Linked DNA regions of Oryzias latipes. The protein of the gene in region 3 interacts with the protein of the main gene of each other region in a pairwise test. Links are inferred from orthologs where the notes say so. Each region holds a gene or a part of one and is shown on either strand. Other genes may lie near its edges. The genes, in order: nmd3, mylip, lnx2, c19h10orf88, scly, map2k5 and phykpl.

Region 1 (4,227 bases), on a different chromosome or scaffold from region 3:
TCCTCACCTCTTTCTGGACAGTCAGCTTCATTTTAATCCTCTTGGAGTGAGGCTCTGTCCACAGAAAACCAGCATCGATGAGACGCACCTGAGTATGATGAAGAGCCACAAAATGGCATCAATTTACACATCATCACAAATAGCCATAATCCATCTCACAGATCATCTAAACAACAGCCCTAATATAAAGATTCAACTATTCTCAGATGAGAATTTATTAGTTTGTTGTTTCCTTAAATCACTGGCATGGAAGCGTAATGCTACGTACACCAGGCATGTGATGCGGGTTCACGAAGGCGCTAAAACAGGCATCTTGAACGCACTTTTATTGGATGGTGTTCAGAATTGGACTGTCGCTACCCAATGCATTTACTCACAGAGGAGGCTTGCTGCAAAATGTCAAAGCGGTGCAAATCTTCCTCCAGGCTTTTTCTTTCACAGCTCTATTCCGATATTAGAAAGAGTTGGTGTCATAGAATTCCAGCCGGACACAAACCAAAATGATTAATTTCTCCTTCCGTGTTTTGAAAAGGACGCTACCCATGTGTCACTACCAAGTCTGAGCCCCTCTATGGTCAAAGTTCAACTAGTTCAACATGTGTTCAATGGCGATGCGATTGGTACGCAGAAGCCTGAAATGCACATTTATGTGCATTTGCATAGACTTTTTTTTTTTTAAAGTGGCTGCTTGAACCCACATTTTTGAGCCTGGTGTGAACGTAGGATCAGGTTTGAATTTGCTGGTTCCCGGAAAAGATTACAATCTACTAACATCACTTTCTTTAATAAATCAAAACAGTTTTAAGATTTGAAATAAAACCCTTATGTTGTACGTTTAAAATAAAAAAAACAAATATCAAGCATACTCTAGTCATTGAGCTCTTCAGTTTTTTCAGACAAAGGGCCAGTAACTCCCTGGACTCCAGGGCGCACTGCATCCATGTACCTGGTGGCTGCAAGTACCTGCATGAAACAACAGATACCTCAACATTTCAAAGAAGAAAACTCAGAGCGTGGGCCATCTTTAAAGAAAAACAAAAAACTGGGAAGTTTTAAGCAAATGTTTGACAAACCGTTCACACTGCTTGCAGAAGTGTACTGTGACCTGCTTGGGGATTCCCTCTGAGATGTCCACCTGAGTCCGCAAACAGGCTACACACATGTTGGCTGGGTTTGGAGGAATGGGAACACCACAGGTACAACAGAGGCTGCGAAAAAAAAAACAGAAATACTAAATCAGATAAATCATTCAAAATGGCTTTCAAGTGGCAAATTCTGAGGGCAAGAAAAAAAAAGTACCGTCCTAAAACAAAGCCCTAGAACAAAAGCACTTTATAAAATCCCACTATGATCATTTTTAGATCTATTCTAAAAGCACCAGTGGTCTTTTATCTAGGATCATATTGTTTTTAGCCAAAAAAAAACAAACTTGTTTTCTAGGAATGTTTATGCAGAGCGGCAGTAAATTCATCTCTCAGTTGTGGGCGGAGCTTTTGGTACAGGGTAAGCCTGCCCCTACTTTCTATCATCCATCTGATACACGCTCCCACAACCCCACCCTAGCATTGCCGGTGCAACAAAAATGGCGAGCAATGTTAGAGCTATCCAGACGTACAGTTTTGAGCCAGATGCCAGCTGAGATGAGGAAAAGAAGACGTACGTGGATCTGTTTGTCTGCATGTGGATACATCCGAATTGCGCAGAGCAGAGAGCTTGTGGCTAGCCCGGCATATTTTCAATGTCACAAATAAGCTCTTTTTCGAGCTGCTCCCGATTAGCAACTATTTGATTAAAGAAATGCTCAGAAATTCAATTTTAAGAGGATTTTTCTTGACGTGTCCTAAATAATCACAAAAACACCACAAGAACATGTTAAAAACACAGTTTACATCAGAGTGGGTCTTTAAGCTGTTCTCGAGGAGTGTCAGTTTCCAATAAGAATGTGGTCACAGTAAACTCAAATGACAAAACGTGTCATGAACAGATTAAAAACAAGTCACACCTAAACTGCTCTCATGCATGACCGACCTTTAGATGAGTAGATTTCAGATATGAGGTACTACTCTTATTTTGAACTAAAACATTTTTTTCCTTTTACAAGTGACAACAAAAATGTCCAATATTTGGACAGCTTAAAAGTAACTTGACTACTAATCTACCAAAAATAAATTTCCAAATTCTTTTTTAACCAGACCGCCTAGCAATACATCATGTATAAATTGTAAAATTTCTCATGTATACATGAGAAATTTTACATCCCCTCAGATGTTTTCTCAATTTCCAAGAAACTTTTTATGCATCAATTTTAAACCAAACTGAAAGAATGAGATGATGTTTTGACTCACATGTTCCCCTGGCTGCTGCTAGCAGGAGCTTGCATGTACTCCATGGTGGTAATCCGCCTTGCAGCTCAGTTTAAAACAATGATTTCTGTAGATTGGTGAACCATTAGGGGCAAGAACAACACAGGTTCCTCCCTGAAAATAACATTTAAAGTGCTGATAACTGAGAGTTTGACATAAAAGTTAGATAATTAACAATGTTCTATAAGTAGGCTACTCTGACGAAAGGTTTCACAAACGTATTTTTCGTGCTGTCAGCAGACAGCAACGCTAAAAAAAACAGAGTTAGCAACGTGTGCTAAACCGACCGTTTTAGAAACACACTACTTAGCGTAGTTTCTCACAAACATTCAATAGCACGTATTGTACTTTTTCCCAAAGTTATATTTGACCAAAAAATGCCGACAAGACGCAGAAAAGGAGTAATGATTGAAAGTTAACCTCAAACCGTGAAGAAACGTCGTCCACGTTTTGCCAGCCGTGGACCGAGGGACCGCTCGTGCGTCACACAGACTTTTAAGACCCCAGTAGCTGTCTTGGTGTGCCTGAATATATTTCATAATTACAATTATTATTACTGCACCTGATGGCCGAGCTGAAATTTGTTTATGCTGTCTTGAATACAAACATATCATATTACACGTTTTTATTTCCAAATGGCGTGTTGTTAATTTTCTGATTAATTTTCTCTCTTGTTTGAATATGTTTGACAGCTTGATTTGACACACATTTTGCTTTATTTATAAGTCCCATTTTACCATTGCAACAACTTAATGCATGTTTTCCACTGTTTTTTTGTGACATCTGTCATGTTTGTTGAATGTACTGTGCTTTGGGTAACATCTTTTTAACCGTAATGCATTAGCACTAACTACACGTTCTGTCAGTCCTGTTAAGTGGTTATATATAGTTATATATATATATATATATATATATATATATATATATATATATATATATATATATATATATATATATATATATATATATATATATATATATATATATATATATATATATATATATATATATATATATATATCCTGTCTCTTTACGCCTCTTCCTAATTTGTTTGTTTTTATGAAGTTTTTGTTCTGTTTTGTTTTTTTGTAGTTTGAACAGTGGTCACTTAATTCTTAACAGAGGATAAATAGCAACGCTTTTCTCTCCGATTGTGCAGAGTTTTCAAAAATAAACAAAAACATTAATTTGGTGTGTTTCTGTCGGCGATGTGTTTGAACGAGGTGTACCTGAAGGCAGCACCAACCTTTAGAAAGAAAGGCAGCAGCACATATTCTCAGTCAGTCTGGCCACCGGGAGCGTGAACGCAGCTCAGGCGCTATTTTTCAGGGTTGGCATAAGTGACTGAACTGGTCGTTGAGCTTCTTCCCATACTGGTCTACTACAGTGAAGGCTGAAACGCGGGTTTAGTCGTAAATGTAGAGGGGCGTCCGCTGGAGTCTTGGACCTTCAGCTGTTGGTTGGTAGGTCAGTGCCTCGCTGCCTGCAGCGGGGCTGCTGCACACCAGCCGGAGCTCCGCGTTGGGTTTCCCCGGTCTGTAAATAAATACACCCGGCTGCTCGGTGCGTCTCGTCTCCAAAATGCGGTGAAGTGTCCCCTGCCATTCGGCCAGTTTTATCTGAATGTCTCCCTGCGTGGAATGAATGATGGAGTGAAATCTTCGGCTGGATAATCGACCGTCAACCTGCCGCGAGTTCGTGCACGGAGACAAATAGATGATAGAAGATACGATGACCCTGCTGTCGCTGTTAGGTCGGATCATGCGTTATTTTTTGCTCAGACCGGAGACCCTGTTCCTGCTGTGCATCAGCTTGGCTCTGTGGAGTTACTTCTTCCACACGGATGAAGTGAAGACCATCGTCA
Region 2 (4,194 bases), on a different chromosome or scaffold from region 3:
CAAATGGTCCAAAGGAAAAAATAAATAAAAACCCAAGATGAACTACTTTGCAAATCGGCCAGGAATCTCCTGAAGAAGCCTGATCAAAATATTCAGAAACACACAAAAAAAGGCGGGTCAAAAATGAAGTATAAAGATGCTTGATAAGAACGTGAATAATTTAAGGCTGTGCATGGAAAAAAAAAAACAAAAAAAACAATCTGATTAAAATTAGTAAAAAAAACAAAAAGACAAAGATCTGTGGAAAAGCAAAAGGACAGATGCCACCAATAAAAGGCTAAGCCAAAGTCTAATGAAAATAATATGCAATTATTGACCTCTGAATATACAAAATATAAAGATTTTGTGATTAATTCGTTCTCAAACAAAACAAATCCTCGCAATCCCAACCTCATTAAGGTTAGGTTGTTAGGTTTAAACATAGTAACTAAAATAAAAAAATTGTTTTAGACATTGAAACTTCCTAATCTATAGGAAATCTACAGAAACTGTGTGTGTGCGTGCACATGAACACTTAAGTGACCAGTAAAAGCTTTATGTGGCAGCAGAGCACACAACATCCTTATATAATCCACCATGAGGTCAGCAGGTTACATAAGCGGGCTGCAGAGCGGCCTATACAGACAGGTGCCAACCGCCCAGCGCATCTACAGCGAGCGCGAGTCGTCTACAACCTGCAGGAAATGCCCTTCACGTCACGACCAACACCTGATTCTTTTCTCCACATGAAATGTGCAGCAGAGGAGCATAATGAGGAGTGTCTGCTTGAAGTATATTAAGCAGAAAACTATTTTTTAATTAGTTTGTTTAAAGCCAAGTCAAAGCTATTAAAAAGTTTCAGGAAAAAGTTCTTAAAAGAATTGCACCACAATCTGCACAAATAGGGATTTAATATGCAAATTAAGTAACAAAGTTCCCTAAAAGATCAATTTATAGTTTAAAAATGGAACAAAAAGTTTTTTTTTAAAGTAAAATGTAAGTGTTACAGCATGTTTGTGTGTGCTGCAGCCATGCATACCGTTCCCTGTCACTTCACTTTATCTCTAGCCTGACCCTACCACCCTCCACTCACCCGACGCCAGCTATCTGCTGATAACCCCAGCTAATCGAGTGGCGGTCGGAGCAGAGGCAGCCAACTGTCCCCGTGCCCTCTCCCCCAATTCCCCCCCCCCCCCCCCATCACATTTGTCTCCGGAGAGGATGCCAAACATGGACAACAGCAAATGATCTGATGTACCAAAATAATGAGTGAATTCAACATAAGTAGATTAAAAATAAATAAATAAAATAAAAAAGAGGGAATAAGTCGAGTGAAGTTGTCGGTTTCCCGGCGACATGCCCCCCCCTTATAAAAACAATGCACAATTAACTTTTCTAGGACCCAGTCCAGTTGGCTCAAATCATGAAGAAGAAAAGAAAGTAGTGGATGAGTTTTTTCCTGCTGGGGCTAAGCATATTTCTGACAAAAAAAAAAAAAAAAAACTAACAAAGGGTCCACCAATGGCACAGTTTCAGCTGTGACTCAATGACCCACATGAGAGAAAACAAAAGCGGTGGGGGAAAAAATAAAAAAAAAGGCACTGCTGGCCCGTTTCCAGAGAACATCTACAAACGTGTCAAAGTGTTAAAGTGCTTGTTTAGAGAAATAAAACAACAAAAAAAGCTACAAACAAGGTTCACTCATAGAAGCAGAGACATGGGGGGGGGGGTTCTGTTTCGTCAGAATGGGTCTCTGGGGAAGCGTGAGGAGCTGCTGGGATCACATTTCCAGCCAAAATGACCTACAGTAACCCCGGAAGAGCTCCGGAGAGAGGTTACTACAGGGCATTTCCACTGCACGGCCTGCAGGGTGTTTGAGCAATGCCTTTGTTTTGAGTCAGCCAGAGCGCTCTCCTCTTTGTCAGTCATAGGGAGCCACGAGGAGAAGAAGAAAAAAAGAAGAGGGTTGAGGGTTCAAACACTGAGCTGGTACCTGGTCTGTTCCTGCAGAATGAGATGGGGCTCCACAAAGAACTTGACCCGCAGCCTCAGCCGGCAGGGTGTCACATTATCCATCTGCTGGCAGATGCGATTCCTCAGATTCAGCCACAGATTCTCTCCTTTGCTGCCCGTGAACTGCAGCCCAAAGTAGTCCGCTTCAATGATGCCCAACTTCCTGCAAACCTACAAGCAAGAGAAGAAAAAAAAAACACAACGCCGTCTGTTTCACTGCTTCAATACAAAAATAAAGTAATTTAATTAGTCAGAAAGTGAAGCAGGTTACAGCTTGTTCCTCAAAAGCACAATTATAGATATTTTTATATATAAATAAAACCAATAGATTTTCAGAGCTACAGGGAGGTGATTTTAAAGCTCTTTGTCTTTTTGCGCCAATAATAACCAGAACTAAAAGTTTAGAAAAGTTTCATGTGCGCCTCCTGAAGAATGAACTTTAGTAACCCCGGACACTCAGCGCCTCTCACTTAGTGACTAAGCTCTGCACAAAAGTGACCGCCGGCAATTTTCCCCAGCACCGCAACCAAAAAAGCGCTCCAGACATGAGAAGAGTTAACAGTTTTTAGCTGGGAATTCATGCATTTATGTGTGAAAACATGTCAAAGCTTTTGTTTTGGGGGCTAACACGCGGATCTATTTACAGGAAGTTCAGCGCCAGAAAATAAGCAAACGTGGAAAACCTTTGTTGATTTTGAACCACAATGTTGCGTTTAAAAAAAAAACAACATAGTAATTTGTGATGTAATATTTGAAGCTCAACTTTACCTTATTCAGACAGTCTTCCCCGTTTGCCTTCGCATCGACTTGCACTTCCATCACCACCGAGTCCGGACGAGTCACGTGGCAAAGCATTTTTGGTCGCTGTCCGTGGATCTTTGGTGTGCCACGCGCTGAAACAAACAACTTTCGTGTCCTCTCCAAAACCGTCACGTCCACATCAAGCTTTCTTCACGTTCAGACGCTTTCACTACGCGAGCCGAATCTGCGCTCCCCAGCTGGACCCTATCTCAATGAAACCCGCGAAGAGCACCGCCCACTAAACACTGACCAATCAGAGGCATCTTAAGCATTCTCTCTGAGATCTTTTAACCAATCAGGAAAGCTGATCAATTCTTAACTCCTGAGGGCGCCCCCGTGTGGCCAAGCTTATGCTTATAGTTCGGGGCTTTTCACTGACCTGAACTGAATAAATTAGACATTTCTCCAACTCCAGAAGACCTCGCGGTGAGTTTAATGAGTCGTGCTGTTCGCCTTTCTGTTCACAACATGTAAATATTCCATGAGACTACTGTCTAAATATAGATTTTCATGAGAGGGAGAGTTTTCCGGTTTGCTTGCTCTTTGATGCTCACATGCATTTTTCATAGTGGCTTATTTTTTCCATCCAATTTTACCTTTTCTTTTCTTTTCTTTTCTTTTTTAAACATGTCTATGAAGACTCTCATTCGTCCAGGTTGGTTCCATTGTAGTAGGTTTAGGGGTTGTCATCTGGACTTGGTTTTTAAAGTTAGAAGACGTTTCACCTCTTATCCAAGAGGCTTTGTAAATGTTCTTTTTTAAATAGAACAAAATTCAAATAGATGTAAAAGATGATCATTTCACTGTCAGCTTTTAGACTCCACAACACCTCATACACACTTCACTGTCATTTATATTGTAGCCCAACTAATGTTGTTACTTATAGATTTTGGTGTTATTTATAATCAGTATTATTATTATTTGTTGTATTTGAAGTTATTGTGACAAATCTATCTATCTATCTATCTATCTATCTATCTATCTATCTATCCATCTATCTATCTATCTATCTATCTATCTATCTATCTATCTATCTATCTATCTATCTATCTATCTATCTATCTATCTATCTATCTATCTATCTATCTATCTATCTATCTATCTATCTATCTATCTATCTATCTATCTATCTATCTATCTATCTATCTATCTATCTATCTATCTATCTACCATGCAAGGATTCTTGCATGGTAGGGCAGGGCGGGAACCAAACCGGCAACCTTTTGATCAGAGGGGAACTTCTCTACCTCTGCACCATGACCTCCCAGTGCTTTAATATGATTAGGGTTGAAAAATAAACATTAGCTAACCACTGATTAATGTGATAAATAATATATTTAGTAACGGAAAGTCATGCATAAAAGTGGCACTTACCACTTTATTTAATATTTAAGTAATGTT
Region 3 (4,302 bases):
GAATGCTTTTGAAATAGATCAAAATAGGATTGGCAAGGGAGATTAAGCCCTAGCATGTATGGTGTTAACTTATTTACAGATCTGTTCTCTGTGCGCATACTTTTTTTTTTTTTTTTACCTGTGTTTGAGATGTGCCTCCAGGTCACAGCGGGGCATGCTGAGCGAGCAGACAGGACTCAAAGGGCAGGAAACGGAGAGCTTGTCTAGCAGCTTGTGCACCAGGATGCTGGATCTGCGGCACGCCTGCAGCTGCAGCCGCGTCCTGTCAAGAGGGCAGAAGTCCCTCTCCTGGAGGAAGCTGCGCAGGCAGCGGGCGCAGAAGGTGTGCCCGCACGGCGTGTCCAGAGGCTGCACCAGCGGTTGCAGGCAGATGTGGCACACCAGGTCGTCGTCCACCTCCAGCCGGTAGTTGTAGAGATGGTTTTCCCAGGTTCGGTGGATCTGACCACACTCTGGACAAAGAGTCTCGGGAGTTGGCTCCGTTGGCCGTGTGACGTCCACCTCGCAGCCTGGGCTGCCCATTTTTCTCCTTCAGCACAGCTCAGATTTTGGCACAAATGACTCCAGTTGTGTGGAGGGCAAGGGTTACGCACTTCTCTATCCCATAAGCTTCACGGGCTGAACAGGTTGCAGAGGACAAAGCCCCCCAGTGGCTGATAACGCATCTCCCTGGAGGTCAGAGGGCACAGTGCAATAGTTTAACAGATGTTTCAGAAAAATCAAAACAAGTGTCTTCTGTGGTCGTGCACGCAATCATTTGGCAAATGCTTCATGCACGTGTGCCCATGGGTTTGCATGACACCGATGGCAGCAATGTGTGTTTATAGTACTGTGGCTGTGCCATGTGGATGTCAGTGACTGTGCTGAGATTATGTATTGCTGCTCCTGTCTGCTAATCTGACAGTATAATCTCTCTTTTACTCTCGCCTACTCCAATCTTCCAATTCCGCAGAGAGGGAATTATCTGGGATTGATGTAGGGAGAGGATACAGATGAGAGAAAGTGGGATAGGAGAAGCCACAGACAGGAAAGAAGAGGGAGAAGAAAAAAGTAGAATAAGATGCAAGGGAGAAAGATTTGGACCTGATGCAGAAAAAAAACACAAAGTAGAGCAGGAATAAAGAAAGAGAAGATACATTTGAAAAAAAATGAGAGAGATAAAATCTGGGACAGGAATGTAATTTAAATAGTCCAAAAAATACTGTGAAACCTTTAAACCCTTGATATTTTTGGCCACGTGTGGAGGATGCTGCCCTCCTCTGCAACAGAAACGGAACATGCCTAAAGCAAAATTGTGAAAAATAGCACTCCAGCAAGCAGAGCGTGTCTTCAGAGTTAATGTGGTGTAATGTGTTTGCTTATTGTTTCCACAGAGTTTCACATCCAACGCCTTTCAGATCTTCATCAGCATCATTCGCCCCTCTGGAACTGATGCTGTTAGCGGACAGCAGAGGGCGTGCCTCTCCCCACAGCGGGCCAGCCAAGCCACAGTGACTACCTGCCTCTGTTCCAGCAAGGGTCTGCTCCTGTCTCCATGACGACCTGGATCCTGTTCTGTTCAGTGTGGTTTGACATTCACAGTGTAGCCAGAAAAGGATGCAGAGGAGGTGCACAACAGATGCACTTCTCCCAGCAGGACTCTGTGCTCCTCCACAGCAGAAGCTGAAAGCTTGTCAGACAATGATATATGAGTCCAATTTGTTGATTTTTTCCCCCCTTTTTTGTGTTTTTCTTTTTTTCAATCTCATCTGTGTAGTTATCCAGTTCTGATGCAACCTGTCTCCTCTGTCTCCTTAGCTACCAGGCCGGTAGTCACAGATTTCTGCCTCCTTCAAGTGCGTGCTCCTGTCTGTGTCTGACTGGCTGCTTCTGTCCCTATCCTGCAGCTGGACATGAATTTAACATGAGGACACAAGGCTTCTCTGTCTCTGTAACAAAGCTGTGACATCACCACATCACACACAGACTTGTAGACATGCACAAGCAAGAGCAAACAGAAACACACAAGGGCTTTTTTTAGGCAGAAGCCCCTGAAATCTCCTCATCAATAAATAACGCCTTCCGGTTTTAACAGTAAATGCATTTTTGAGTCAGGAAGCAGTTGAAAAACAATCTATTTTAGACAAAAGCCACGCTGGGCTGATTTTTTTTAATAAGTGAAGGCTTGCAGATGCGTGTGACACGTTCTTAATCCTTCTTGTCTGAGTTCAAAGCTGTACTTGCTCATCTTTTTATATTAGGATACCGGTCCTGCACTTGCTCTCATTTTCCCACAGATTACTATCTAATCTTGGGAGAACTAGGCAGCGGCATGCAGGAGTTTCCTTTTTAGAAGATCAAAAGACTCTATGGCACTCATTTAAAAACTCAGGTGTATCAGGCACCCAGGTATCAGATATTTTACAAAAACCTCATTTGGATGTCTTTCATCCTACAAATACTAAACACACAAAGACAGCACGAGAACTGATGTGAACATTATTATATATTTATTTTTTGCATGCATTAGTAATAATACAAAAACTGAGCCTGCTGTAAATTACATTTTCAATTATTATTGTCAATTTTCTGCATTTACCTTAATAACGCCCCATCTGCAAAGCAATTACTAAAATATATATATATATATATTTTTGATACCATCAATGTTTAGATAAGCCCTCCCCCCATCTCTCAAACCCCCCGTTCACTGTCTGAGTCCAACCCCCCCTAGGAGCGAAAAGGGAGGACAGAAGAGGCGACAATGGTAATAACAGAAAAAGCCAGCATCACACACACTGACGCCGCTTACAGTGAAAGGATGCAGATGTGATGTTACCTCTTCAGGCTGCTCCTCTGCGCCGCGCCCGGGCCTCGAAGAGGGGCGGGGGTGGCGGGACAATTAGCAGCTGCGGGACCTCAGTCACGCAGTCGCCGCAACGGACGGCCCGTTCCGCAAACCTGCACGAAAACGCCCCCGTCACTTTGGTGCCTGGTCCCGCCCACTGCTGTCCGTCAAAGAGACTGGGCGGAGTTTGCCGCTGTCAATCCACAAAAAAAAGAAAAAAAAAGTAGAGGTGGCTTCAATGTCGCCTGCCCAAAAACGTCCATTCAGCGGGAATTAAAATCTTTTAATATGTTTATGATTCCGATATGTTAGAGGTAATAACATAAACGGATAAAGCTTCGGGATCATACAGGGCATGGAATATTTTTTGTTTTTCAATGTGACAATTACAACTATTATTTTAGTAACTAAATTACTTTAGAATAAATGTTTGGGTTCTAAAAACGGCGTGAATTTTACAAAAATGCATTATTTATTTAAAAAAAAATGTTATGGTTTAACAATATAAAACAATGAAATGATCAGGCATCTTTTGGTCATAAAATCAGGTCCTCGAAAGAAGGACCTCGCAGAGGTAAATAAATCCCCTAACATGAGCCTGTAGAAATTTCCTGAAATAATTCTGCGTTTTAAAGTCTTTAGGTGGTCAGGCATAATGGCTGAAGATAATGAATTGGAAAAGTAAGTATTTTTTATTTTTAGATTATCATCGATTAACTTGTTTACGTTTGCTCGGTTAAACTAATACATCGGGGGAATGGTGTCTGGTACCACCAGATTAGGCTAGCATGTTTGCATAATGCATTTCTGTAGCTATGGGGTTATTTTGGTTAGGGGACGGAGTGTATCTTGTGTAGCAGTCAACACACTCTGCCTTTTGGCAATCAACAGCTGTTCTCACTACGTGCTATAAGATCGGCTGAATCAGAGAGAGCCCCCTGCGAGACTAATGCCTCAGCTGGTCGGGTTAAACGGGGACACCGCTGATGTCCCAATTACTTATGATTCACTTCCTCCGCGTCTCCTATTTTCTTCCTCGCTCGCACATAATTATATTAGTCTCCCCTTGAGCTTTTATGTCATCTTGGTCTTCTGTTGTTATCCGCATTTTTCTACGTCTTTTCCTCCAGACGGGCTATAGAGGAACTCCTCAAGGAGACAGACAGAGCCAGGGTGAGAGCTGAGACCATGGGCCCTGCAGGATGGTGAGTTATGGTTCTGAAATGTCATCCCTGACAGCCTCCACATAAAACGCCATGTAAAATCTTACTTCATAGGTTTAGCTGTTTTTTTTGGAGGCTTCTATTATTGTTGTATTTGTGTTTAACTAGTTTTCTATTATAGATAATTCGTCAGGTTCCCAAAGACACTTGTCTCTCTTGGCATCTAAAAGCACACACATATAGACTAAATTTATTATTAATATTTATTTATTGATTGTGTGTCTGTAGTGATTCTATGTCTAAAAAAAACGG
Region 4 (4,270 bases), on a different chromosome or scaffold from region 3:
GAATGGAACCATGTGTGGTCAGATTTGGAGTGGAAACCTCCTTCCATCAGCATTCAAGATGAAACATGGCTACGTCTTTCAGCAGGACAACCAGCCCAAACACACGTTGCCCGGGTAACGAAGGAGTGGCTTTGTAACGAGTATTGAAAGGTCCTGGAGTGGCCTAGCCAGTCTCCAGATCTCAACCCCATTGAAAATCTATGGAGGAAGTTGAAAGTCTGTGTTGCCCAACAACAGCCCCAAAACATCACTGCTCTAGAGGAGATCTGCATGGAGGAATGGGCCAAAACATCACTGCTCTAGAGGAGATCTGCATGGAGGAATGGACCAAAACATCACTGCTCTAGAGGAGATCTGCATGGAGGAATGGACCAAAACATCACTGCTCTAGAGGAGATCTGCATGGAGGAATGGACCAAAACATCACTGCTCTAGAGGAGATCTGCATGGAGGAATGGACCAAAATATCACTTGTCAAGAGGAGATCTGCATGGAGGAATGGACCAAAACATCACTGCTCTAGAGGAGATCTGCATGGAGGAATGGACCAAAACATCACTGCTGTAGAGGAGATCTGCATGGAGGAATGGACCAAAATATCACTTGTCAAGAGGAGATCTGCATGGAGGAATGGACCAAAACATCACTGCTCTAGAGGAGATCTGCATGGAGGAATGGACCAAAACATCACTGCTGTAGAGGAGATCTGCATGGAGGAATGGACCAAAACATCACTGCTCTAGAGGGGATCTGCATGGAGGAATGGACCAAAACATCACTGCTGTAGAGGAGATCTGCATGGAGGAATGGACCAAAATATCACTGCTGTAGAGGAGATCTGCATGGAGGAATGGACCAAAACATCACTGCTGTAGAGGAGATCTGCATGGAGGAATGGACCAAAATATCACTGCTCTAGAGGAGATCTGCATGGAGGAATGGACCAAAACATCACTGCTCTAGAGGAGATCTGCATGGAGGAATGGACCGAAACATCACTGCTGTAGAGGAGATCTGCATGGAGGAATGGACCAAAACATCCCTGCTCTAGAGGAGATCTGCATGGAGGAATGGACCAAAACATCACTGCTCTAGAGGAGATCTGCATGGAGGAATGGACCATGCAGGAATGTAAGTCTTTACCTTGTGAAGACTTACAGAAAATGGAATATAACAAAGTACTGAGTTAAACTTTTGTTATTGACCAAATATTTATTTTGCACCATAATTTACAAATAAATTCTTGAAAAATCAGACAATGTGACTTTCTGGATTTTTTTCTCCTTTTCTCATAGTTGAGTTATAACTATAATGTAATTTATAGGCCTCTCTCATATTTTTAAGTGGGAGAACTTAAACATTTGGTGGCTGACTAAATACTTTTTTGCATCACTGTATAAGACAGAGTCTGTCATACGTCATAAAAAGTCTTGATGATGTTCGCACCACTTCAATATTGCGATTTTCGATATTTCGCACTAAACTGTAGGTGGTGGACATGAGCTGGGTAACAGTAGATAAAGAAGAAGAATCCCCTCCCTGCTTGTCAGGTGTGAACGCCATCGGCTAAAAGCGCGTCAAGAACCCACATTTAGCGTGCCACATGCCAGATACACCTGGAAGGTGTGATGAACCAGAGAAAAACAGGAATGTCCTCCATTTTCAGGTACCTGTTCACGGATACCATAAAACCACTACTGTGGAAAAGAATATCTGTCAAAACGAGCAGACTATAGACATTCAATTCAAATGTAAAGATGATATTACCAAGACATCATTCCAGTCTTCTGGGTTCCCTACTTTTTTTAATATACAGTGGAGGATTATGGGTACTTGTTTCAAAGATAGTATGGTGACCATTGACTGTCAATCAAAGGTTTAAAATGTTTGATGTGAGACGACAGGCTTTTATTGAGGCATCTGATTGGGCAGTTTAGACCTGGAATGACCTGCATTTAAGAAGTGTTTATAATTGAATTCAGGATGTCAAAAAGGTAGCAGAGCAAGAATGGTTACTTTGACAGATCAATGACTGAATAACAGCTGTTTATGTCTCTACAGAAGTCTTATTGGAGCCAGCAGGTACTTCTTTTTGGAAGGGCAGGGGTCACTCAGTCCAGTTCTTATATACAGTCAATGGTGGACACATGTCAGGACGTTCATTTGGACTAAACTTTGGACAGATGACGGAAGGAAAAACATGGAAGTAAACCATTCTGTATGGATCAGTCCAGTTCTCTCATAGAGTCAATGTATGGACCAAAGGTCAAGGGTTTTAGCCTTTACCTGACGTCTCAGGTGAACGTAGATACTCCTTACCCTTCAGCCTGTTCTTCATCCCACTGACTGAGCTCCTCTTCATGACTGAGAGGAAGAGGAAGCAACACCTCAGCCAGCTGACGGCCCGCTGCCGGACAGACCCAAGCAGCATCACCCTTCACAGAGACGTCCACCATCCTGATGCGGGACCCCACCTGGCAGGAGGCGGGACGGGGCACAGACAAAGGGGTATTCTGTTCACTCCATCATCTAAAAAAAAAACCTTCCCGTGAATTTCAACACAGACGCGGGCGCCATGCTGGGCTTATCAGGGGCATCACCTGTCTCAGGTGAGCGATGAGAACCAGAGTATCAGCTCACTCTGGGACATGAGGGGGGACGTCACGTGGACGCAAAGGTTTGTGTTTTCATGTTGGGACCTAACCCCGCCCCCCCCCCCCCCCCCCCGGGGTCTCTTACCTTCACCCCACCGGGGCGGCGCTCTTTTAGGAGAAACAGAATCCAACCGGTAAATGAAGACAACACTTGAGCTCGTCAGCTGCCGCAAACACCCAGGACGGCAATGGGCTCTGGGTGCGTGACGTCATCAGCCGGCGACTCGAGGATGTGAACGTCGGTGAACACGTGACCGGTTGTTTATCAGTGTCTTTTTTTCTGGCATGGACTTTACTGCGTGTTACGCGGACACTGTGTCCAGCGTTGCCGCCGCCGCGCGCGCGGGTCGCGCGGGGCGGCTAAGAGCCCTGCTTGGTGGGGGCTGTCCCATCGACTCCCGGGATAACCGCGGCTGGACCGCTCTGCACGAGGCGGCCGCAGCCGGCAGCAGCGCGTGCGTGCGAGAAATCCTGGCTGCCCTGCACGGTAAGAAGGAAGAAGCTGGAGGTCTGGGCATGCGCAGAGTCTATGGTGCGTCAGCTCACACTGCAGCCATTGGTCTGATGAGGACCAACAAGAACTTAGTGTCCTAAAGCTGTGATCGTGGTTCCGGTTGGACCAGCGCCTCCTACATCTTTTTAAAGCGCCTTTATAGTTGAGAGGATAAATACCACAAAATAAATGGATTCTGGCCTCCCACCACAGAGACTGCAGTACCTGTCAGACTCACCTGTACATTTCCTCATCCTTGGATGAAAGGCTGATGTTGGCGTCTGACTAAAAGGCCAAGAAAACACTTATTCAGTTGTAAAAGAATAAAAATAAAAAAGAACCTTTTAGACAAGGCAAGTTTATTTGTATAAAGACAATTGCTTTACATGAAACATTAAAAGAGACATTCAACAGGAATGTTGGAGTGATCATTAAAATCAGATTGAAAGAACATGAAAAAGAACAGAATTTAGATCAAGCAGAGATAAACGGTGCGGTTGTAAACGTTTGAGTACAAACTGATCAGGTGCAGCTGAGAACAGATGGGTGTCTAACGGGGTTTTTAATAGAGTGTTTCAGCTGATCTAAGGCTTTCTGGAAGTCTGTTCCAGATCTACCTTTTTGGTTTTGACTCTAGGGTCTGACACAAAACTGGACCCCGATGACCAGAAAGTCAATACATCACGAGTGATGGCGCTAAACCATTCAAAGCTTTAAAAAATCTATCCAGCAAAGGCCTCAGAACCAGACTGATGTGTGAGAACACCAGCAGTGGAGTTCTGAATGAGCTGCAGGTTTTTCTGGTAGTCCTGTAAAAACACTGTTACGATAGTCAGGTTAACTAATGATGCTAGTTTTTCCAGGTCCAGATCTTTAATCCTTGTAGAAATGAAAGAGAAGCGACCTCAGGATGGAGCCTTGGGGAACTCCTCGTGTAATTTCTGTTCTCCGATGTGAAGTTACCAAAGGACACAAAGTATGTTCTGTTTTCCAAGCATGTTTTGAACCGGTTAAGTACTGGCCCATTGAGACCCACCACGTTTTCCAGACATATGAGTCATAAAACGTGCTCAACTGTATCAAATGCATCAATGAGATCCAGTAAAACCAGCACTGACACATT
Region 5 (4,448 bases), on a different chromosome or scaffold from region 3:
ACCTTTTATCACATTAATGGCTTAACCTCGATTCACTATGTATTATCATCTCAAAATTATATTACACTCCAAACAGAGCACAACCAAGACTATTGTCTCGCAAACATTCCTTTAACATCATCCCTTTTCATCTTTGTGTGTTCTGGTGTATGCGTTCTGGCAAATGTCTGTGATAACCTCAGAGAGATCTAACACTTTCGGTGCTCTGATGTTCGAGCATCTAGCCTGCAACAGTCTGTGGGTGGGTTTTTCACACCATGATCCATCGAATGAGGTTCTGAATATGCAAATGCAAGGTATATATGCCAGGCCTTTTGTTGAACCCCTTTGTTCGGACTTTGAATGCACTGTGTTCATCTGTCTGTAACCCTGCGTTCAAATCTGTGGTCTTTGTGCGGAGTAAATCTACAAAAGATAAGTTTTGTCTCTGAGTCATTATTCATTATTTCTGTGTGCAGGAAGCTGAAGGGGAACAAACCTAATTACCTATTTTACAGTCCTGTTTAGAATCTCCAGTTTCCTCACAGTAGTTATTTTCCCTCCAGTTCATTCCAATACAATTTCATGTAACCTTACAAAACAAATCAAATAAAAACAATAATATATATTTTTTAAAGTTATTAATTCATTGAAATGTTTTATTTTTGTTTATGCCAAAGCAACTGCGATTTTTGAACAATTATATAATGACATTATGCATACACAAAAAAGAACAACATTATAGTAATGTTTTTGTCCAAAAACAATGTAACTTCAACAACTAAAAACTTTTTTGATTGAATAATTTCTTTTTAATTTAGTTTAAATGTCTCTGTTGGCCACTTAACCATAACCCTGTGTCAAATTACTTTTATTTAAACTTGACCTCAATTTTTTTTAAGTGCTTAAATCTGAAATTCAATTTGTCCGTTTCACGTTTACGTTTGTTGTGCTTTATGACATTAAGCAGCAGCACAGTAAGAGTTGCTGTCACTTTAACCCAATGCATCATGGGAATTGTAGTGTTAGCAGTGGCACTAAAGTTGTAAAGAATAACATCCTGCAGGTGCATTAGTTTATGCATTTTTTTATATGGCGTGTACCCCAGTGGGCATCGATTGCTCACTAGATCACATCTATGTAGACCAAAATACACAGTGTTTGAACAATTTTTGCAAAAAAAAAAGTTATATATAAATGTGTTTTTTAAATACCATAGAACACAGTGGATTCATAAATGGTCGCCGCAAACGCTAGTATCATTGAGATTTTCCCTTCGTGAAATCGATGACGACATATTCGCTGTTTGTAAGAAAAAAAAAGAAGTCTGTGTCTCTGCAGCCGTCCACTTCAGTCCTTTCTTCCTCCTCCAAAGACAAGATCTCTACATCTGTGTGACGCTTCCGTCTGAAGAGACGCACTTTTTGGCATTTTTAACGTTCTAATGCTAATATAACAGACTGTTTTTATTCATCTTTGCTGTTTTATGTTGAAACGGGACGTTTCATCTGAAGTATGTAACATTGTTCACTTTCCGCATTGATGTTGTGCGCATGACAAGTTCATGACGTAATGAGACAGATGAACTTCAGGGTGTGTGAATGAAAAGGAGAATAAAGGCTGCAGCGGTCTTCTACACCCAAACGTGTCTCTGAGCTCCTTATTTTACATATGAAACTCCGCTTTAGTGACACCGAACTCCGGAAAGCCGGCTCCACTGACAATAATCTGATTTTGAGTCGTCAAAAGGTTCAGAATCTCTTTGTTTTTTAAACCTATCCAGAAATAAAGCTTCACAAAACGCTCCACATATTTCATCTTCAAGCAAGGCTCCGATAAACAGAAAACTTTAATCTCGTATTGGAACAGTTATGACTTTTTTCTCTCGTAAATAAAAGTTGTAATTTAAAAAACAAGAAATTTGTTTGTAAACTGGCCTTAAAACTCTGTGGTATTTATTAATGATTTATACAGTGAAAGCTTCACTTCTGCAGATAAAGACAGATGTCAGTTCCTGCTGAGCTCTCAGCCCTCCATGACTGTCCACTCTACTCCAGTCCAGTTTTCTTTTCATCTGGTAAATTATTCCACTTTCTTCGTCTTAAGATATTTTCGCTCCTAGTTCGTTGTCCCATAAGAAGAACCCATGGTGACATCAATATAACAGAAAAACATTAGAAATGGATTTTGTGGTAAAATACACATCATTTCATGGGTCTGGGTTCTTATGGGTTAAGTCGATGAGTTTTTCCTCACATGATGGATTTCAAAACCCAAGAACAAACAAACAAACAGAGCTAAAAATGGAGTCATGCAGGAAACTGGGTCAACGTTCTTATAAGCCCCAGACATGTTCCACTGCTGGTTTAACTGTGTTTTTCACCGCTGCTAGGTTTCTACAGGATGAGATAAAGCGACGCGAACACGGAAACAGCGCGTGCGCTATAGAAGATGTTTTAGGCGAGCAGCCAGGTTTCCGAAGGAGTCTACGTTTGGAGTTAAACATGTCTGACCAAGTTCAGACGGAGTTACTCGATTCTAGTCCTCACAGAACTCCACAAAAAAACAGACAGGCGACACGGGTCCGAACCGAACACACCTGCTGGCCGGAACCGCAGCTTTCCGGAAGAATGTGTCCTGGTGACTGGTCGATTGTGTTTACTTTAGGTTTAGCTTGTTTAGCTAGTCGCTTTGGCTAACAGACTCTGGCTGCTCAACCAGTTCGTCCGACTCCGACATATATAGGCCGACTGGGACGAACTTCTCCTGTTCTGGCGGAAGAACGGACGAATGACCTTCAATCTGACCTTGAGCGGTGAAAGAGAGATGCCTTTCCCGGACTTCTGCTGGCTGTTCCCGCCTGTCCTTTGCTAGCTCAGGAGTCGCATCTCGGGCTCGCCGGGTTGCCAGATCTGATCTCAAACGTGCACCCAGCAATTATCTTCTACAGGGGAAAAAATGTCAAAGAAACACACGCACGTGCGCGCACACGCATCCAAACGCTGAGACAAACACCTACAATCACACGCGCGTGAGCTCGTTAATTTATTTTTATGTACATTCTACTCAAATCAACACAAACGCGTTTACGTATTCTATTGCACAGTGCAGCATCCATCAATACATGACAGCGATCATAGAAGGAAATGATCACTATAACTGTGCACACACGCACGCGCACTGCCTTCAAATATCCATTCCCAGCCTTTATCTGTTAATAAATACATTTCAAAAGTAAAAACTGTACTTTTGAGAAAATTTAATAGTAGCCCTTATAGGAAAAAGTAAACACTTGAAGTTTATTTTACTAAGTATATCTGTAAGTGTAAGTAAGTATAATTATATATAAGTATATATATGTAGTAAATATACTAGTATACATGTGTAGCATAGGAAGTATAATAAGTTAATACTTCTTTAGACTAAATTGGAACATTTTAGTTTACAATATATAGATAGGATAAAAAGAAAGTAAACTGCAAGTATGCTGCCCTTACTTTTAGTACAGACTGATCTCCCTCCCATAAAGAAATCAAATAAAACCCAAAACACACACTTCTTTGTGTTGCATAAGTTCCATGTTTATTTAGTATATGACAAGGTGTTTAGTGTACACAAACACCTGACACTAAACTCCAACACTCAGACACAGACTGAACTACTCCCCATTGAGTTTGTACATGGGTGAAACGTTATAGTACACTGTTCACAGCACTCGTGTTTATATACACTGCCAATTTGAAGAAAGAACGGAGATGTACGGATGCAGAAAAGAGATGTGGAAGCACAGACATGTCAGCTATGACCGTAAAATGATGTCATAGGATTAGAAAAATGTGTATTTTGTGTAAAGACTGCCAGAGTGTGATGGTGAGGGAAGAGTGACAAGAAAATAGCATGAAAGTAGCAGATTTCTGTACAAGGTATAAATTAGCAACTCAGAGCTAAAATCCTCCCATGCATCAACCAGCAGGTTATTCCAGTGCCTCTTCTAGTCTCCATGTGGTTCTCCTAAAAGTTTCCGTTCTACAATCATAAAGGAACCACAACAGGATCCAGAAGCTGTTTGAGCAGAAGCACAGTACATTCAGTGTGAGTCTTTCTATAAGTGCAGCAACAAAACTTTGGTTGGTTCAAATGTGATGCAGATGAAAACATGATGGAGCTCAGTAAAAGACAGTGAGCAATTCCCACACACACACTCACACACTCATGATGATAAAGTACCGCTGGATGAAAGGTTTCCATCATGATGGTTGGATGTTGATGCGACCTTGTGTATCCAGCTAGAAAGACTAAAAACAATACTTCAAAGAAACACTTGAAAGTGTAAAAATGTTGAACTGGATTCACTTCAAAAATTTCCACGAGACACAGAATACAGGCTAAAACAAGCGTTTTAGGAATGACAAACACCTGGTGATACGCTCCAAACCTCAGACTTCAGATCCACCCGTTTGCATGTACAT
Region 6 (3,327 bases), on a different chromosome or scaffold from region 3:
AAGCATCAAAATGGAGACATGTTTCATTTATGGACCTAACTAATCAAAATCAGTCACAATCATTCATTCATTCATTCATTTATGAGGAAAATAGATCATCAAGGTTACTTTAAATTTAGTACTTAATACATGCAGATGATTAAGCTTTCTGTTTTTCTTTAAAATTCCGACAAATCATAGTTCAAAATATGTTTATAATGGATATTTAACCAGTTTTAACATCATTCTTGTTAGGTTCATTAATATTTTATTGTCATTTTGTGACTCATTTTTAAAATTTATTTTCAAAAGTAGAGTTGATTATGCTCTTAACATAAAGGTATCATCTTTTTTTGTGGCTCCAATCTGTTTGGTAATAAACCGAAATATTAAAGTTGAATAGAGATAGTACTGATAGCTGTTTGGACTTTCTGTTTTATTAAGAAAACCAATTTTTTCTTGCTTTTTTATGACCAATTAAGTTCATTACAACATAATGGCTGTTTATACAATTATATAAAGAGATAAAGAGGAGATGACATTTATTGAAATGGGGAATTTCATGTTTATTTCTAACACAACCTTTAATTCTCCAACTCTATTCAAAAGAAAGTTGGGCTTGAAACAAAATATCTGTTTAAAGCAAATGTTATTGAAATGTTTTTGCTACTTCTAGTATTCTAATACAATATTTTGGAGGGTTGTCTTTTTTTTTAAGACAAACTTTTCTTTATCTTTTTTATGCAGGATCATCCCTTCATCATCCAGTTTAATGATGGAAATGCAGAGGTGGTGTCCATGTGGGTTTGCCGCTCTCTGGAGGAGAGGCGCACTCAGCAGGCTCATTAATGCCTCCAACCGTCCTCTGATGGACACAAACGTTTGACTTTAAACGTCTGCAAAAGCCTGTACAGTCAAGAATGTTTCCTTGTATGAAACCCTCACAGAACTGTATTTTTTGGACAAGAAATTGGGTTATTACATGCGATATATCAACTATTCTTTTTATTTTTTTTTAGCACAAAGTATTATTTTCAGTACCACCCTGCAAACCCGGAAATGTTCTGAACATTTTGATGAAGGAAGATAAATATTTATGGTCCAAAAGAGTGCACAACTTCAAAACCTGACAATCCAACATGATCAGCCTGTGCTTTCCTGTTTTCTATTGGGATATTATATTGCACATCTGGACCAGAGCAAATATTTAATATCAAAGTTATGAGATTTCTCATCAACAGGGCTAAAATTAGACTAATTCTACATTTTTTTTTTTACCATCAGTGTGATGCCCAGTAAACCTGCAGTGTGTCATTTCTGAACTCCGCAACGGAAAACTTCCACTTGGTATATTGTTGTCATGAAAAGAGGTTTTTATGTGCTTTGAGTCAGTTTACAGTTGGGTTGCACTTTGTTTTGTTGTTTTTGCAGATTAACTGTTTTTTTTCTCTCTTCATTTCTTCCTTGAAAATGAAAACATTTTAAATATAAAAGAAAAAGACAGGACAGTTTAGAAAAACCAAAATCATATATTTATTTTTTTTATATTTCACATTCACAGTGTGCCCAAAATATCTAAGAAAGTAAAGCAAATAGATAATCATTGAAATACCTTCAGATAATAGAACGAAAACAAAAATTCAAATTCTTGGTACACCAAAGAGGAGCTAAATGCTGAAATAGCTACAGGAAATTCAAAACTCTGACAGATCTCAATGGTCTTTATTTGCATCCAATGAAATCTAATTCATTCAAATGTAATCCCATTACTTATGTGGTTCACAAAGAAAACGGAGGGGTATGATATGTAGTGTAAGAATCAAGAGACACATTTTTGTTGTAAACTGCTGGCACATAAAGAATTATCTAATCTGTGAAATAGATTTAAATTCAGGTAAACCCAGAACTGCATCTTTTGACTAGCTGAAATGCTATCTCAACATTTCTAGCTCTTAAGAACTAAAACAGAATCACTCAAAAGATGGACGAAATTTCCAAATGTGTCTCAGACCCAAACACAGGCTAGATGTGTGAAGATGATCATGACACTTTTTTTTTGTTTTTGAAGGACTTTCCTTATTGAAAAACAAGCAAAGTTTTTTAAATTTCACATCTGCTACTTCTTTTCTCTGCACTTTTAATCATTTGATTACATAGAAGTTGTAACGATGATGTTTTTCAGAGATCCATCCAGCAATGGTACACAGTGTGTGTGTGCTGTAGACTGCAAAGTCGAGCACTTCAGTCCTGTGCTCTTTCAGAAGCTCATCAGGGAACTCTGCTTCTGCTGGTTGTGGTTAAAACTTCAAATACAACATTTTTAAGTGAACTTGAAATGTGATTTGTGGACCTGAACACGTTAGCCTTAAATGTTACAGATTTACAATATATTTAGCTCAAAAAATATAAGGAATTATTGTTTATGTTATGATTCTGCTATGAACGAGGGACTCATTTGTGTGTCTTTTTTAATGCTCAGCTTGATGACAGCATGTCTGGTGTCCTGCTCGTATTTTGTTCTTGTTCAAACCACAGAGTCTCTGTTTAGTAATGATGCGCAGCAGAAGCCTCAGTGCTGTGAAATGACTGACTGAACAGGCCGCCCCTTTTTTAACGTTTTTTTTATGTCTGTTGGCACAAAACATGTTAAATAAAAGTTATTTGAACAAACGTTCACAGTCGAGGTTTAAAGGTGTGTCGATTATTTAGGAAAAAACTGTTTCCGTCTAGACTTTTTGTTAAAAAGAAACTGTTATTATTATCTGTTACATATTTTACAATAATAAAAGACCACAGACTGATGATGGAGGGAGCAACGATAGTAAAAGAAGTGCAAGAACGTGCATCAGTCTGTCGACTGGAAAATGTGGCAGTTCATCCGATTCTCTACCCAAAATCTTCCGGGGATGACGGTGGACTTCAGGGAGGAACCCCACCCCCACTTACAACCCTCAACAGAGGTTCCTATGGCCCCCCACCATCTCAGGGGACCTGAAGTGAACCTCCCACATAGACTCCATCCAGAAGAAGACCCAGCAAAGATTGTACGTCCAGCATATTCTGATCATCTTCTACTCTGTGATAATCCCGTCTGTCCTGACCTCATCAATCATGATCTGCAACCAGACGCGACAAGGAAAGACCGCAGGGAACCATCAGGTCTGCAGAGAGGATTATAGGGTCCAACCTACCCTCCATCCAGGATCTGTGCTGGTCAAGGGTTGGGAAGCAGGCTGGTAAAATCCCCATGGACCCCTCGGACCCCGGCTAAATTCTTTTATAGACTCCTCTCCTTGAGCCGGTACGTCAGAGCTCTGTACGGCACCCCCCCTGCCACAAAGACTGCTT
Region 7 (4,385 bases), on a different chromosome or scaffold from region 3:
TTCTCTCTGTCTGTAACCAATTCCACTCCTGCAAACAGTCCCACACATCTAGAGAGGACAAAGGTCAGTGAGCATCATGGATGCATGTAGACTTAATTTTATAAACCACCTCTACAGTGACATTTGTTTTTAAGTCAAAACTAGTTACTGTAGTTTATCCCACAATAGATGAAAGACAATGGTACATTTAAGACCTGCTCTAATGAAAATCATGTTTTGCTCTTGTGCTATTTGTCTCTCAATAGAGGACACACATAAAGAACATTAGGCTGATTTCTTTATTCACATCGTAAACCAGGAGCAAACACCAAAATGCCGTTGGAAGGAGTTTGTAGGTATGAAGGTAAAAGCCACAAGCTCCCTGCTTCGCTGCATCTCGATGCACCTGTGTGCAAATAGATCCATGTACGTCTCTGTTTTCCTCGTCCTAGGTGGAATCTGGCTCAAGGCTGTACGGCTGGAAAACTCCAATATTGCTCGCCATTTTTGTTGCACCGTTAATGTTAGGTTAGGGTGGGAGGGGCTGTCAGCTAATGGGAGAGTGTCAACAGATGGATGATGGGAAGTGGGCAGACTTACTCCACGCCCACAACTCAGAGGTGAATTTCTAATGAACTACTACCGCTCTGCAGATACTGTTCTAGAAAACAACAGTTTTTTCTAAATTTAGACTGAAAAAGGCACGATCATAATTAAAAGCCCACTAGGGACGCTTTGACTGTAGATCAAAAGACGATCAGAGTGGGACTTTAATGCATTTAATTGAAACATAACAGGTGTATGAAGCTCAGTTATTACTGTTTACTTATTGGATGACCAAGTACTAAATTGCACCGATTTTAAGGTCTCTGGCCAGGAAATTATGTAAAAACAGCTGAGTGAAGAAGAAGCACCCAACCGACTGTCATTTTTTAAAAATGATTTTAAATAAGGTATTTCTGGTTTCCTTACCTTACATCTCCTATTACTTCATGTCTTGCTTGCAGCTTTTTGAGCAACCCCTTCAGATGTTCCCCCACCCTTATGGCATTTCCTCTGAGGTCCTCTTCCTCAATCACATCAAGAACCGCCAGGCCAATCGCACACGACACCGGATTCCCTCCGAACTGCATCAAGCAGTGCGACACAAATTTTTAAAGTGTTGGCTTCACAGAAAACCAGGATAAAGAATTTCACTAAATGATTAACATACGGGACTCAGTTGTGAGCATCTACTTAAAAAAAGCTTCTTTTTTTTTTCTTCTAATAGAATTTTAGTTGAACATAATTTTACCGTATTGAAGTACTCCACTCCATTCGCTGTGAATGCCTGAGCTATCTCTACTGTTGTTGCCACACACGCCACAGGGTGACCATTACCCATGGGTTTCCCCATGGTGACTATGTCTGGACAGAAATTCTCCCCCTGTAGCTGGAAAGCCCAAAAATGACTCCCCACACGTCCGAACCCCGTCTGCACCTCGTCTGCCACGAAAACTCCTCCAGCCGAGTGCACGTACCTTCAAAGTAGATTTGCACCAATCACATTTAAATCAAAAAACAAAAGGCGGCTGAGTCACTACTCACTCGGCGACTTTACTGGAATATCCTTGGGGCAGGAGGATCTGCCCTCCAACACTTGGCAGTGATTCAGCAAAGAATGCAGAGATCTATGCAAAAGAGCAATTCAAGTTAACTCAAATATATTGTGCTAGCCACAGTTAATGAGTGATGAGTGGTGAATCTTAACAGGAATATTCATAAAAATGAACAGTGAACCTTGCGACCTTTCCTGTGGATCTCCTCTATCAGGTCTTTGACCTTATCTGCATAGGCTTGGCCTGGGTTGGGGTGATCCTCTCTGTACATCCCTCTGTAGGTGTCTGGTAAAGGCGCCTGGAAAAGACGAAGCGCATCCTCTCCGATAAGCAGACGTTAACATCGCCATCAGAATTTTTGTGCATAGACCTACACACCACATGAACCCAGTCTTTCTGCCCCGCCAGTTTCCGGAACTTGTAAGGACTGATGTCAATGAGGGACATTAGATGTCCGTGGTAAGCGCTGGTTCAGGGGGAGACTACATTAAGGGTGGTGTTAATGGGTAAATTCAGATTTTTTGAAGCTATGGAGCTTACTGGTCAAGAACTATGACGTCCTGGTTTTGGGTGTACTGTTGGGCCAAGCGCAAGGCCAGGTCATTGGCCTCTGAACTGTGGGAAAGGCATAAACAGTCACTATAGTATTCCATCAATGACTAATTGTAAAAATATCGGGGCCTTTCTTACCCAGAGTTAACAAAATAGAAGACGCACAGTTTGTCAGGCAAAGTGGCACCGAGACGAGCAGCATAAAGGACTATCTTGTCGTTCAGGAACCGAGTATTTACGTTCAGAAGGTCCATTTGTGCTGCAGCAGCCGTTGTAACGGCAGGATGACAATGACCCACTGTGGGGGGTAAACATGGGGTCAATTATCTGCATTTTTTTTTACAATCTTTGGCCACTAGGAGGCAGAATTGTTTCATATTTCGGTCCCTAAGCATTTTACCGTGTTGGACATTGCTGATGCAGTCCAAATAGCGATTCCCATTTTCATCAAACAAGTACTGTCCTCTTGCTCTCACTATTTTGACAGGGTCTTCTTTGTAAAACAGTCGACATGACTGCCTGTAATAAAAAAACAATTACTTGTAAGAAACATGTACCTTAAGTGTCCATAGCACAGTAGAGTATCAAAACTTCACTTCACATACCCAATTAGCCTTAGTCTCATCGCGAGGGTTTCTTCTTTAGTAAAGTTTTCTTCAGCCATAGCATGCAAAGCGTGAAACGGTGAGTCATATAATATGTCGATTACAGGAGGTTTAAAACATTTACCCAACTCTTCTTCCTACTCAGCTGGTTAGCACTGTGCCACTGAGCATGCGTGAGAAGCGTGTCTCTTCCCATTTTCCTGCTATTGTTTCCCTGCTGCATAAAGTTCCACTGCCTAATTTTTCTGGAAGATAAAACAGAAAAACAAACAAATATTCTCTGTCTGATGTTTTGTAAAATAAAAATAATTAATAATTTGTAATTTTTCTCAAAGTTGTTTTAAATCACGCTGTAGCTTTATTTCGATTGGGCTATTCTAACAAATCCAAAGGTGACCGTGACATTTTGTTTTAGGCCATTTATTCGTTTCCTCTTGGTCTTGTTGAGTTCAAAATGCATGTGATTACAAATTAATTCAAAAACATCTGTCACATGTTTGCTCCGTCGTTTCCTTAATTTTTAATGTTCCACCTATTACGTTTTTCTATATTGGTATCGTCCAAGGGCTATAAATATTCCGCAAAGCTTCTGGTTACCCGGTGCATTCAGTGTCCCGCTTCGGTTGCTAAGGAACCATAGAAAGCAGGTAATTCATCAGGTCAGCTGTAGCATGCTAGCTATGTGAAGTAAAACGGCCAAGCTAGCTGCTTTTAATTAGTTATCGCAGTAATGCAAAGTCCAATTTTTTTTAATTAAGTAATTGTGTTAGGAGCCAAACAAACCGGAATTTCTTTAACAAAATAAAATATCGTACTTCTAGTATATTTAGATAACGGTTATAATCTTTAGCTAACTAACATAACCGGCTAACGTCTTGATGTGTCACTAGTTGCATTGTGTTACTGACATAACGTGCTTTTTACCTTGTCGTTTTCACGTGAAAATACGTGTATGTAGCTAGTAGAGACGTGACACAATAATACCTTCTTTATTACAGTGATAGTACTTTTTTTGCATGTAAGGTTCGTGACACATTTTCTGGTGAAAGAGCACGTGCTGTCTCATAATTTCGTCATAAATGTGCGAATTGCGCAGTAAAAATTACTCATTATTTCCTTTGGATGTAAATGAAGACATTTAGTCAAGTCGTACCTATGCAACTACTATTTAACCACACACATCCTGCATGTCGCTCAGATTCAGACAGAGTCAGTCTGAGCACACACTGTTGTTTATAGTTTGTTTTAGGAAACGTGTTAGATGTGCAATTTTTTAAATATATTTTTTAGAGATTTTTAGTGCAATTCCTTTTTCTTCTTTTTGCTATAGGACTAGCTTTATTTTGACTACTGTGGTGTGAACCACAGTTAGCATAGTAGCACCATGTTTGTCACAAGAAGGCAGGCCCTGGAGGCCAGATTTTAACCCTGAAAGCTCAAACTCTAAACGTAATCAAATTTCCTTTATTTTTATTTTTATTTGAAATAATTGCATTTCATTGTATAATACTTAAAAGCTAACTCTGGTTGCAGCATTAAGTGTACTTTAGCCTTTGCACTTTTTAACCACCACACAGAGACCTAGATAAAGCAGGTGATTTAAGGCTTTTTTTTTCTTTTAGTTTCAATTTGAGATGTTTATGTTGTACTG

What was found.
Region 1: the proteins of lnx2 (region 3) and nmd3 interact in a two-hybrid assay, tested with the Homo sapiens proteins (3 studies listed by BioGRID and IntAct). The link is inferred for Oryzias latipes from reciprocal best matches to the Homo sapiens genes LNX2 and NMD3.
Region 2: the proteins of lnx2 (region 3) and mylip interact in binary tests that used the Homo sapiens proteins (3 or more experiments, as listed by UniProt). The link is inferred for Oryzias latipes from reciprocal best matches to the Homo sapiens genes LNX2 and MYLIP.
Region 4: the proteins of lnx2 (region 3) and c19h10orf88 interact in binary tests that used the Homo sapiens proteins (3 or more experiments, as listed by UniProt). The link is inferred for Oryzias latipes from reciprocal best matches to the Homo sapiens genes LNX2 and C10orf88.
Region 5: the proteins of lnx2 (region 3) and scly interact in binary tests that used the Homo sapiens proteins (3 or more experiments, as listed by UniProt). The link is inferred for Oryzias latipes from reciprocal best matches to the Homo sapiens genes LNX2 and SCLY.
Region 6: the proteins of lnx2 (region 3) and map2k5 interact in binary tests that used the Homo sapiens proteins (3 or more experiments, as listed by UniProt). The link is inferred for Oryzias latipes from reciprocal best matches to the Homo sapiens genes LNX2 and MAP2K5.
Region 7: the proteins of lnx2 (region 3) and phykpl interact in binary tests that used the Homo sapiens proteins (3 or more experiments, as listed by UniProt). The link is inferred for Oryzias latipes from reciprocal best matches to the Homo sapiens genes LNX2 and PHYKPL.

The regions. Positions count from the first base shown.
Region 1 is NC_019871.2:13,573,246-13,577,472, reverse strand, and holds the start of nmd3 (60S ribosomal export protein NMD3), read right to left. Parts: upstream 2,886-4,227; 5' UTR 2,784-2,885; intron 2,478-2,783; 5' UTR 2,390-2,477; coding exon 2,346-2,389; intron 1,209-2,345; coding exon 1,074-1,208; intron 964-1,073; coding exon 867-963; intron 89-866; coding exon 8-88; intron 1-7. Other genes in the region: ppm1l (protein phosphatase 1L), read left to right, coding at 4,080-4,227. UniProt on the Homo sapiens protein: Acts as an adapter for the XPO1/CRM1-mediated export of the 60S ribosomal subunit.
Region 2 is NC_019869.2:23,671,218-23,675,411, forward strand, and holds the start of mylip (E3 ubiquitin-protein ligase MYLIP), read right to left. Parts: upstream 3,022-4,194; 5' UTR 2,848-3,021; coding exon 2,761-2,847; intron 2,164-2,760; coding exon 1,973-2,163; intron 1-1,972. UniProt on the Homo sapiens protein: E3 ubiquitin-protein ligase that mediates ubiquitination and subsequent proteasomal degradation of myosin regulatory light chain (MRLC), LDLR, VLDLR and LRP8. Activity depends on E2 enzymes of the UBE2D family.
Region 3 is NC_019878.2:17,477,296-17,481,597, reverse strand, and holds the start of lnx2 (ligand of Numb protein X 2), read right to left. Parts: upstream 3,006-4,302; 5' UTR 2,819-3,005; intron 670-2,818; 5' UTR 523-669; coding exon 119-522; intron 1-118. Other genes in the region: protein POLR1D, read left to right, coding at 3,483-3,508, 3,958-4,032.
Region 4 is NC_019877.2:24,550,557-24,554,826, reverse strand, and holds the start of c19h10orf88 (uncharacterized protein C10orf88 homolog), read right to left. Parts: upstream 2,940-4,270; 5' UTR 2,740-2,939; intron 2,530-2,739; 5' UTR 2,457-2,529; coding exon 2,320-2,456; intron 1-2,319. Other genes in the region: ankyrin repeat and SOCS box protein 3-like, read left to right, coding at 2,940-3,141. UniProt on the Homo sapiens protein: ATPase that regulates mitochondrial ABC transporters ABCB7, ABCB8/MITOSUR and ABCB10. Regulates mitochondrial ferric concentration and heme biosynthesis and plays a role in the maintenance of mitochondrial homeostasis and cell survival.
Region 5 is NC_019862.2:2,930,244-2,934,691, forward strand, and holds the start of scly (selenocysteine lyase), read right to left. Parts: upstream 2,926-4,448; 5' UTR 2,787-2,925; intron 2,758-2,786; exon of another isoform or gene 2,579-2,757; intron 1-2,578. UniProt on the Homo sapiens protein: Catalyzes the decomposition of L-selenocysteine to L-alanine and elemental selenium.
Region 6 is NC_019861.2:12,541,557-12,544,883, reverse strand, and holds the end of map2k5 (dual specificity mitogen-activated protein kinase kinase 5), read left to right. Parts: intron 1-726; coding exon 727-828; 3' UTR 829-2,657; downstream 2,658-3,327. UniProt on the Homo sapiens protein: Acts as a scaffold for the formation of a ternary MAP3K2/MAP3K3-MAP3K5-MAPK7 signaling complex.
Region 7 is NC_019868.2:17,086,735-17,091,119, forward strand, and holds the start of phykpl (5-phosphohydroxy-L-lysine phospho-lyase), read right to left. Parts: upstream 2,966-4,385; 5' UTR 2,794-2,965; coding exon 2,735-2,793; intron 2,649-2,734; coding exon 2,530-2,648; intron 2,428-2,529; coding exon 2,268-2,427; intron 2,193-2,267; coding exon 2,118-2,192; intron 2,044-2,117; coding exon 1,956-2,043; intron 1,876-1,955; coding exon 1,759-1,875; intron 1,650-1,758; coding exon 1,567-1,649; intron 1,500-1,566; coding exon 1,274-1,499; intron 1,107-1,273; coding exon 952-1,106; intron 49-951; coding exon 1-48.